Linked DNA regions of Danio rerio. The protein of the gene in region 1 purifies or fractionates together with the protein of each later gene. This does not show direct contact. Links are inferred from orthologs where the notes say so. Each region holds a gene or a part of one and is shown on either strand. Other genes may lie near its edges.

What was found. Proteins that work in one complex are often made in the same cells at the same time.
Region 2: the proteins of irak3 (region 1) and irak1 purify together in Homo sapiens (co-immunoprecipitation; 3 studies listed by BioGRID and IntAct, with this or other methods). This does not show direct contact. The link is inferred for Danio rerio from reciprocal best matches to the Homo sapiens genes IRAK3 and IRAK1.

What each region holds. Positions count from the first base shown.
Region 1 is NC_133179.1:13,359,200-13,363,092, forward strand, and holds part of irak3 (interleukin-1 receptor-associated kinase 3), read right to left. Parts: intron 2,643-3,893; coding exon 2,578-2,642; intron 2,488-2,577; coding exon 2,376-2,487; intron 2,303-2,375; coding exon 2,184-2,302; intron 2,109-2,183; coding exon 1,910-2,108; intron 1,754-1,909; coding exon 1,691-1,753; intron 576-1,690; coding exon 408-575; intron 1-407. UniProt on the Homo sapiens protein: Putative inactive protein kinase which regulates signaling downstream of immune receptors including IL1R and Toll-like receptors.
Region 2 is NC_133183.1:9,128,496-9,132,538, forward strand, and holds part of irak1 (interleukin-1 receptor-associated kinase 1), read right to left. Parts: intron 2,856-4,043; coding exon 2,675-2,855; intron 1,533-2,674; coding exon of another isoform or gene 1,529-1,532; coding exon 1,455-1,528; intron 1,336-1,454; coding exon 1,259-1,335; intron 1-1,258.

The sequences.
Region 1 (3,893 bases):
GCACACCAAATGGAAAGAAAAAAAAACTTCCACATTAATCTAATTAATTGTAAGTTTAATCTAGATAAAAAAAACATCATCTACGCCCACCTGTAGTATAAATATATCCCTCTGTAAAATATTCAGTACATAGATATAAATAAAACAGTAGAGTTTGTTTTATAGAAATGCTGCATTTATGGCTTAGTTAAGGAGAGAAACTCATTTAGCCTTCAGAAATATATATCATAACTGAAGCGTACAGACACAAATTGATAAAGTGCGTTTTCTTCATATTAGACGTACAGAAAACATTTAATGAAAAGCAAAAATCTCAAAACTGACAGGTGTATAAAAACATTTTCTTATGCTTCAGTGTGTCTCATCAATAAGTGTTTATGTTGTGTGTGTAAAGAACATTTACGAACCATTTCCATGTCTGGCCTGACTCGCATTTTGCTGCCTGTGCACTCAAGTCCGAGTCGCAGCAGACAAAGAGCCACAGCAGGAGGCCAGTGCTCAAATTTAAGATCTAAAAACCGCAGACAGGCATCCACGCAGCCTTTTTCTTCTACCTCTGAATGCAGTACATCTCTCTAAACAAATCCAATGACATTAGTCAATTTGTTTTACTTACAAAACATTTTGGAATGATAGTGTTAAGGTTCTCACTCTCTCATGGACACCACATTTTTTTGATGACTTTCCAAAATCTCTAATAATTTTAAATTATGATCTTTGCAATTCACAGCCCCAGCATATATACAGTAGCACCATGAAAGTCCTTATTGGACTTAACATTTTACTTACACTTAATATTTACGTCAAAATACCACAGTAATGATGTTTTGAATGCATCATTTTCATAAATGTAGAATCATGTTCAAAGAACATTAAAACATTTAGTTAAATTCAATACCGGTAATATTTAAATGCGATGTCTGAAATATTACTAAAATGTGCATTTATTGTCATAGTTCTCATATTAAATTTAAGATTTTTTAAATTAGGAATTTCTTAGTTTTTAAAAGCAGCACAGTAAAATCTAAACACCAAAAACTTTCAATTCAAGCACTTTCAACGACCTATGTTCATTTTTAAGCACTTTCCAGTCCTTGAATTCATAGGTATGAAATTCAAGTAGTTTCAAGAAGCGTGGGAACCCTGTAGTATACAATTCAAGTTGATTTGTATAGCACTCTTATACAATAATTATTGTTTTAAACAGCTTTACAAAGGGTGCAAATTCAAGGATTCTACAGGTTTCATCAAGTCAAGAATTTTAAAGACCTTTTTAAGACCATTATGAATGAAATTGCAGACTAATTGCAGACTAATTGCAGACTTTTAGACTAAACTTTTCTAATGGCCCAGTTAAAAACATTAAAAACAAATGTTCCTGTAAGGAAGATAATTAATCCATATTGGTAAACTTTTTTCGAGATAGAATATTAGTGGTTGGATAGGTGTCATCCTGATTGGGTGACTTTTAGGCATGGGCCAGTATATGTTTCTGAGGGTATGATAACCTTGGATAAAAATATCACAGATTAAGGCTTGTAAAATTTTATTTAAGACATTTTAAAACTTTTTAAGACCCCGCGGATACCCTGGCATTATTGCTTTATGATCAAATTAAGTTAAACACCTATCATAAAACCACTCATAAGTAATATATGTAGATCATAAAGTGGATTCTTATCAAACTTACCAAAAACAAGTTTTTTGAGGACTCTTGTTTAACCTTTTGCCCTGTACATGTTTCCAATATAACCTACAAGCAAAAAAAACTGTTATATTTATAGTGATATTTCATATTGATATTAAGTTGGAATTGATATAAATCAATTAAACCATCAACAATAAAATAAAAAAGTAAATATCTTAGTTATACAAATTAAACATTTTCTTAGACGCTCCAGCTTCTCACCACACCAAGACTGTAAACATCAAGTTTGACTGACAGCTTTCCATCTCGAATGTACTCCTCTGGAAGATAGCCTAGATTACTATGTAGAGCAGTATTCATGACAATAGTGCAGCTCTGGTCAACAGAGTGTGGCCGCAGGCGAGCTAATCCAAAATCGCACAATTTAGGCTGCATGTTTTCATCCAGGAGAATGTTTGAACTGCCAAAGGAACACAAAACTCAATGCATGCTCTTTACTGCCACCTACAAAAGTATTTTTGGCTTTTAACGGCACCTTGTGATGTTTCCACATATAACAGTGCACGGTTGTGAAGTGTGTAGATGATGGACTGCCTTCGCCGTGCCTTTGATAATATTCAGCCGTTCTTGCCAAGATAGAGGCTTGTCAACGTGCTGTAATAAAACCAAAAGTAAGAGAAATAATAGATCACAGTTAGAAAAGACAGTTTGCTTGTGGATGACTGACCTCATGAAGTCTGTGGAATAATGATCCATTTTGAAGGAACGGGTAAACCAAACAGAAGCGATCCGAATCTGAAAAGCTCCCCCATAACTCTAAGATGTTAGGATGCTGGTTGCTAGGATGACAAACAAACGTAAATAAATAAATGACAAAATGATAAATGAACTTATTTGAATGTGGCTAGGTATGCAAAGTCCGGACTTACAGTTGGAGAACTTCAATTTCCTTGGTGAATTTTTCCCACAGTGCCTTCCAGTCAGTTTTATTTTCCTGTAAAACATAATAGAAGTCATTTGATCAGTTCTTTTCACAATTTGAATATTATTATATTCCAAAAATCAAGAAAGCAAAACATACAATTATTTTTATCATGATTCTAATTTTCCCCAATTTTCCAAATTCATTTGAGGTTTCATTTGTTAATATTAGTTACTTGTGTTAGTTAACTTTAATTATCTATGAAAAAATGTGGTGGTTCATTCCACTGTGTTGTACTCTGATTAATAAGGACTAAACTGAAGGAAAATTATTGAATGAAAATGCATCTACAGGGTTTATTAATTTTCTTTTTTTAGCAAATGTTAGTTTCAGTTTCACTTTATTAAAATCCAGAGTCATATTTGATCACGTGTTAATTACTAACATAAGCAACTTAATTCCATGCAATTATATTTATTCAAATAAAGCATTATTATTGTTGTTACTAATATGTAATTTCATAATTTACTTTTTTGTTATGTTCTTGTGGTACACATATAAAATGGCTGATGAATGTAAAACCAAAGGTAATCAAAATTTAAAAAAGCATTTGCTGTATTAAATTTATACTGAATATAAATATTTGCTCTGAATGTAAACTGTAAAACATGTACTGTAAATTAATAATTTTTCATTTAAAAGCCTTAACAATAACATAATTTCCCTCAACTAATTGTTTATCCAGCTGTGGCGAGTTCTGAAATAGAAACTAAGCCTATAGAAAATGAATGAATGAATGATTGATATAACTTCATAATTAGTACATTACATATAGCATTATTTTTACTTGCATTAACTGTTCATTAAAGACCTTGATTTTGTAGTTATATGATTACAGTGCTCAGCATAATTGAGTACACCCCATTTTGAAAATTCATATTTTTATCAATTTCTCAGTGAATGTAGGCAATGTATTTTGTTGCATTTAAACAAAGCAGATTTATTAAACAGATTTATTTATTAAATTAATATTTTAGTCACCAAACATATTTAGTACTTGAAAGATAATAAAATTAAATTCAAGCTAAATATTGCAAAAAAAAAACCAACCTAAAAACCTACAAAATTTCAACTAAATTTTAACAATTTATTTTTTTTTTGCTTTTTTTTGTATTTAATAATTTTGTGTAACATAAATTTGGGTGAACTAGTTTTTGGACCGTTATTGCAAGTTATTTTGTTAGATAAGCTCCAGATTTGGCTTGAGTACTGACTAATCTAATGTATATGCACAAATATAATATTGTATAGCTTCCTATTAAA
Region 2 (4,043 bases), on another chromosome or scaffold:
GGTCCATGCTTGTTAACATTAGTTAATGTACAATGAGTTAACATGAATTAACAATGAACTACTGTATTTTCATTAACTAACGTTAACTAACATGAACAAATACAGCAGTAAATGTATTGTTCATTGTTTGTTCATGTTAGTAAATGCATTAATTAACATTAACTAATGAACCTTATTGTAAAGTGTGACCAAGTGGCTTATATGAAAGGCAAAGGCTTCTAGATTATGCTTATTTTATTAAAATAAATTATGATAACGCCTTGGTTTTGAATTATTTAATTAGGACAGTAAAGTCTGACTTTGCTTAGACAAAAGTCTTGTCACTTAACAGAAATAATGTTGTAAAATATAAAGTCATGGTGCAGTGGCAAATTAATATTGTGTCTGACTCCCATGAGCTTAGAAGACTGCATCCATACATCTCTGCAATGACTCTAATAACATATTACTTAAGTTATCTGGAATGACAAAGAAAGCGTTCTTGCAGGACTCCCAGAGTTCATCAAGAATCTTTGGATTCATCTTCAGTGCCGCCTCCTTCATCTAACCCCAGACATGCTCAATAATGTTCATGTCTGGTGACTGGGCTGGCCAATACTTGAGCACCTTGACCTTTGCTTTCAGGAACTTTGATGTGGAGGCTGAAGTATGAGAAGGAGCGCTATCCTGTTGAAGAATTTGCCCTTTCCTGTGGTTTGTAATGTAATGGGCAGCACAAATGTCTTGAAATGTTGCCATCCATTATACAGAACTCACGCACACCTCCATACTGAATGTAACCCCAAACTATGATTTTTCCTTCACCAAACTTGACTGATTTCTGTGAGAATCTTGGGTCCATGTGGGTTCCAATAGGTCTTCTGCAGTATTTGTGATGACTGGAATTCAGTTCAACAGATGATTTATAGAAAAAAAAAATCTACCTTCTGCCACTTTTCCAAATGATAAACTAGAAGTCAAGTTATTATTTGTTGCACTTACAACTGGGATCGATGACAAGACTTTTATCAGGTAGTGTATAGAACAAAAAAATATACACAAGAATTCTGAACTTGACTTCATTCAATGTTCAGACTTTTAAGCTAGAAATCTATGCAAATTAGCACATATTTAATTAAATTACACCTTGTTTGAACATTTAAACAACATTTTATGAAGCTATTCTTACTATAATCATTCAACTCAGGATGTATGGTGAGAATTAGTTAACAGTTTTGTGCCCTTCACCTTCATTCTTTATCTTAATCAAACAAAATACCTCTTCAGTTGTTTTTGAGATTGTTGAGCTCACGGAGTCAGGTGGTGGAGGGCTAGGCCTGGGTAAAGGCCTGATCTCTGGAAACATAAAAGAGCCACTTTTAGCACAGATGTTATGATAAGTGAGCAACTGTTAGGTAATAATCAAAGTCATGTTTTATGTTAACATAAGGACTGTAGTAAGAATAACATGTTACCGGGGACAGGGAGATGCTCTTTGATAAATGTGACTGTACTGGGTTGTTGCTCTTTATGATTCTGTGGAAATTGTCTACCTGTGCACATGCATAAAAAAAAGAGCATTGATGGATTTATTATCTGAAACTATTGACAGGCAGTGCTTGTACAAATCATAACACAAGTACAATAAAAGCATATTTTCTATGCCAACATTTTTTATTTCAAACTAACGTTGTAATATATATATATATATATATATATATATATATATATATATATATATATATATATATATATATATATATATATATATATATATATTTTTTTTTTTTTTTTTTAATCATGTTTTCCATAAAATACAAGATTTGTTTTTAACATTAATATTAATAAGTATTTTATTACTATATAAATACTATATACTACATACTATATAAATATATACTATATAAATATTATTTATCATGTATGATTTATTATTGAACAATAAATCATGAGATAAGTAAATAAATATAAAAGTATTAAATATTATTAATAAATAAATATATTAAGTTTTATTGTTTCATATTTTTTGTAAGATCAGAGATATATATTTACATTACATTATATATATATATATTATATTATACATTTTTTATACATATATTTTAAGACAAAAATTATCTACAATCATTCATGATAGACAGATAACCCAATAACATGAATATCTAGCAAATGATGCCAGTAAGTCAAGTTTGTAGAATAATTTATGCTCCAACATATAAAGTCAATGAATGTGTTATTTGTTTAATTTTTTTTTAATCAGTGAATATGGATTTAAAAATCTACATTTTTTTAATTGATGTGACAAGCCAGTGTATAAATACATATACTGTTAGTATATTTATTTTCATAATATAGGTATCAGTATTGATTGCTGAAATGCCTTTCTACAGATTTGAGTTCAGATTTACAGGCAGAACAAGTCAATTCATTTTGATGAAAGTTAACAACAAACAGGTTTTAAAATATACATTGACGGATCACAAGCAGTAAACAAGTAAACCAAATAAGAACGTGGGAAATATAAGCACAACTGAGAAATTTCACATCTGACTGACAGCATAGTTCTTTCTTGAACCATGGAATGTGAAACTTTAGATTATAAAGCGAGTAACGTGATAACCACAAAACCCAACTGATAACCTGCTTGGCACATAGATGTGGTAAAAAAATCAAAAAAAGGAAGAAGAAAAAAAACCTACATAGTTGTGCTTTGAGAATGATATCACGAGCTCTGAACCACTGGAGTCCCTCAAGAATCTTCAGCAGTGCTCCAACTGTCCCATTGCGACAACCCCAATTGTGCATGAGGTTACTCGTCCGTCGAGGGCTTTGCTCCAAAAGGCGTAGTTCAGTCTGATCTGATATGATTTGTGAAGCTGCAAGGACATAAAATACTTTAATTGGCAAGCAAAATGAGAGTGTTATGAAATTGAATGGGAATTCTATCCAAAACTGAATAGCTAATTTAGTTCTTCAAACAAGTTCAGATTAAAATATCTGGATGAACTGATCTGAGATTACTGCGTTCTTGTTGTGAAGGACTTCATTTATTATTTATCCTCAAAATCATGATCAACAAAACAACGATTGACTGGCAGCAAGACAGCTGTGAAAGGACATCATCTGATTAATATAACGGGTGTCATGGTGGCTCAGTGGTAGCACTGTCGCCTCACAGCAAGAAGGTCACTGGTTCGAGTTCTGGCTGGATCAGTTGGCATTTCGGAGTGGAGTTTGCATGTTCTCCCCATGTTCGCGTGGGTTTCCTCTGGGTGCTCCAGTTTCCCTCACAGTTAAAAGACCTGCATAAATAAATAAACTAAATTGGCCATAGTGTGCGAGTGTGAATGTGAGAGTGTATGGGTGTTTCCCAGTGCTGGGTTATGGCTGGAAGGGCATCCGCTGTGTAGAACATATGGTAGAGAAGTTGGCGTTTCATTCCACTGTGGCAACCCCTGATGAATAAATGGACTAAGCCGAAGGAAATGAATGAATGAATGAATAAATGATTCATATTCTAGCCATGTGAGCAAAATGACATCGAATTGGTAGTAACTGAAAAGGTTTGTTAAATGATATGCTATAATATTTCACATTTGTTGCCGGTATGGCTGCACAATAATGGAAAAATTTACAATGTTGTTGAGTGCTAACATTTTTTTTAAAGATATAACTAACTTGCAATATGCTATTTTATCAGCAACCTTTTTTAAACACTTTAATATGTAATGATCATACTAAAATAAACAGGTAATGAGCAATTCCATGCAAATGTCAACCTTGCCATGAAAAAAATTACGTTTTCGCCAAAATAGCGAAACTGTTTCTGGTTAATGTATCTATCAGTGTTTTCAAACTATTATATTTGATTTACCAAAGTCACACAAGTGGCAATTTTACATCTGTCATATCCATAACAGAGAGATGTCACATCCATAACAAAGCTTTTTCATCATAAATGCAAAATCAAATAAAATCAATCATGTTTGTTCTATAGTGAGACAACTCTTATCATTTTTATTAGCATTGTTTCTTTTGGGTTGTGCAGTTTAATTCACAGAATT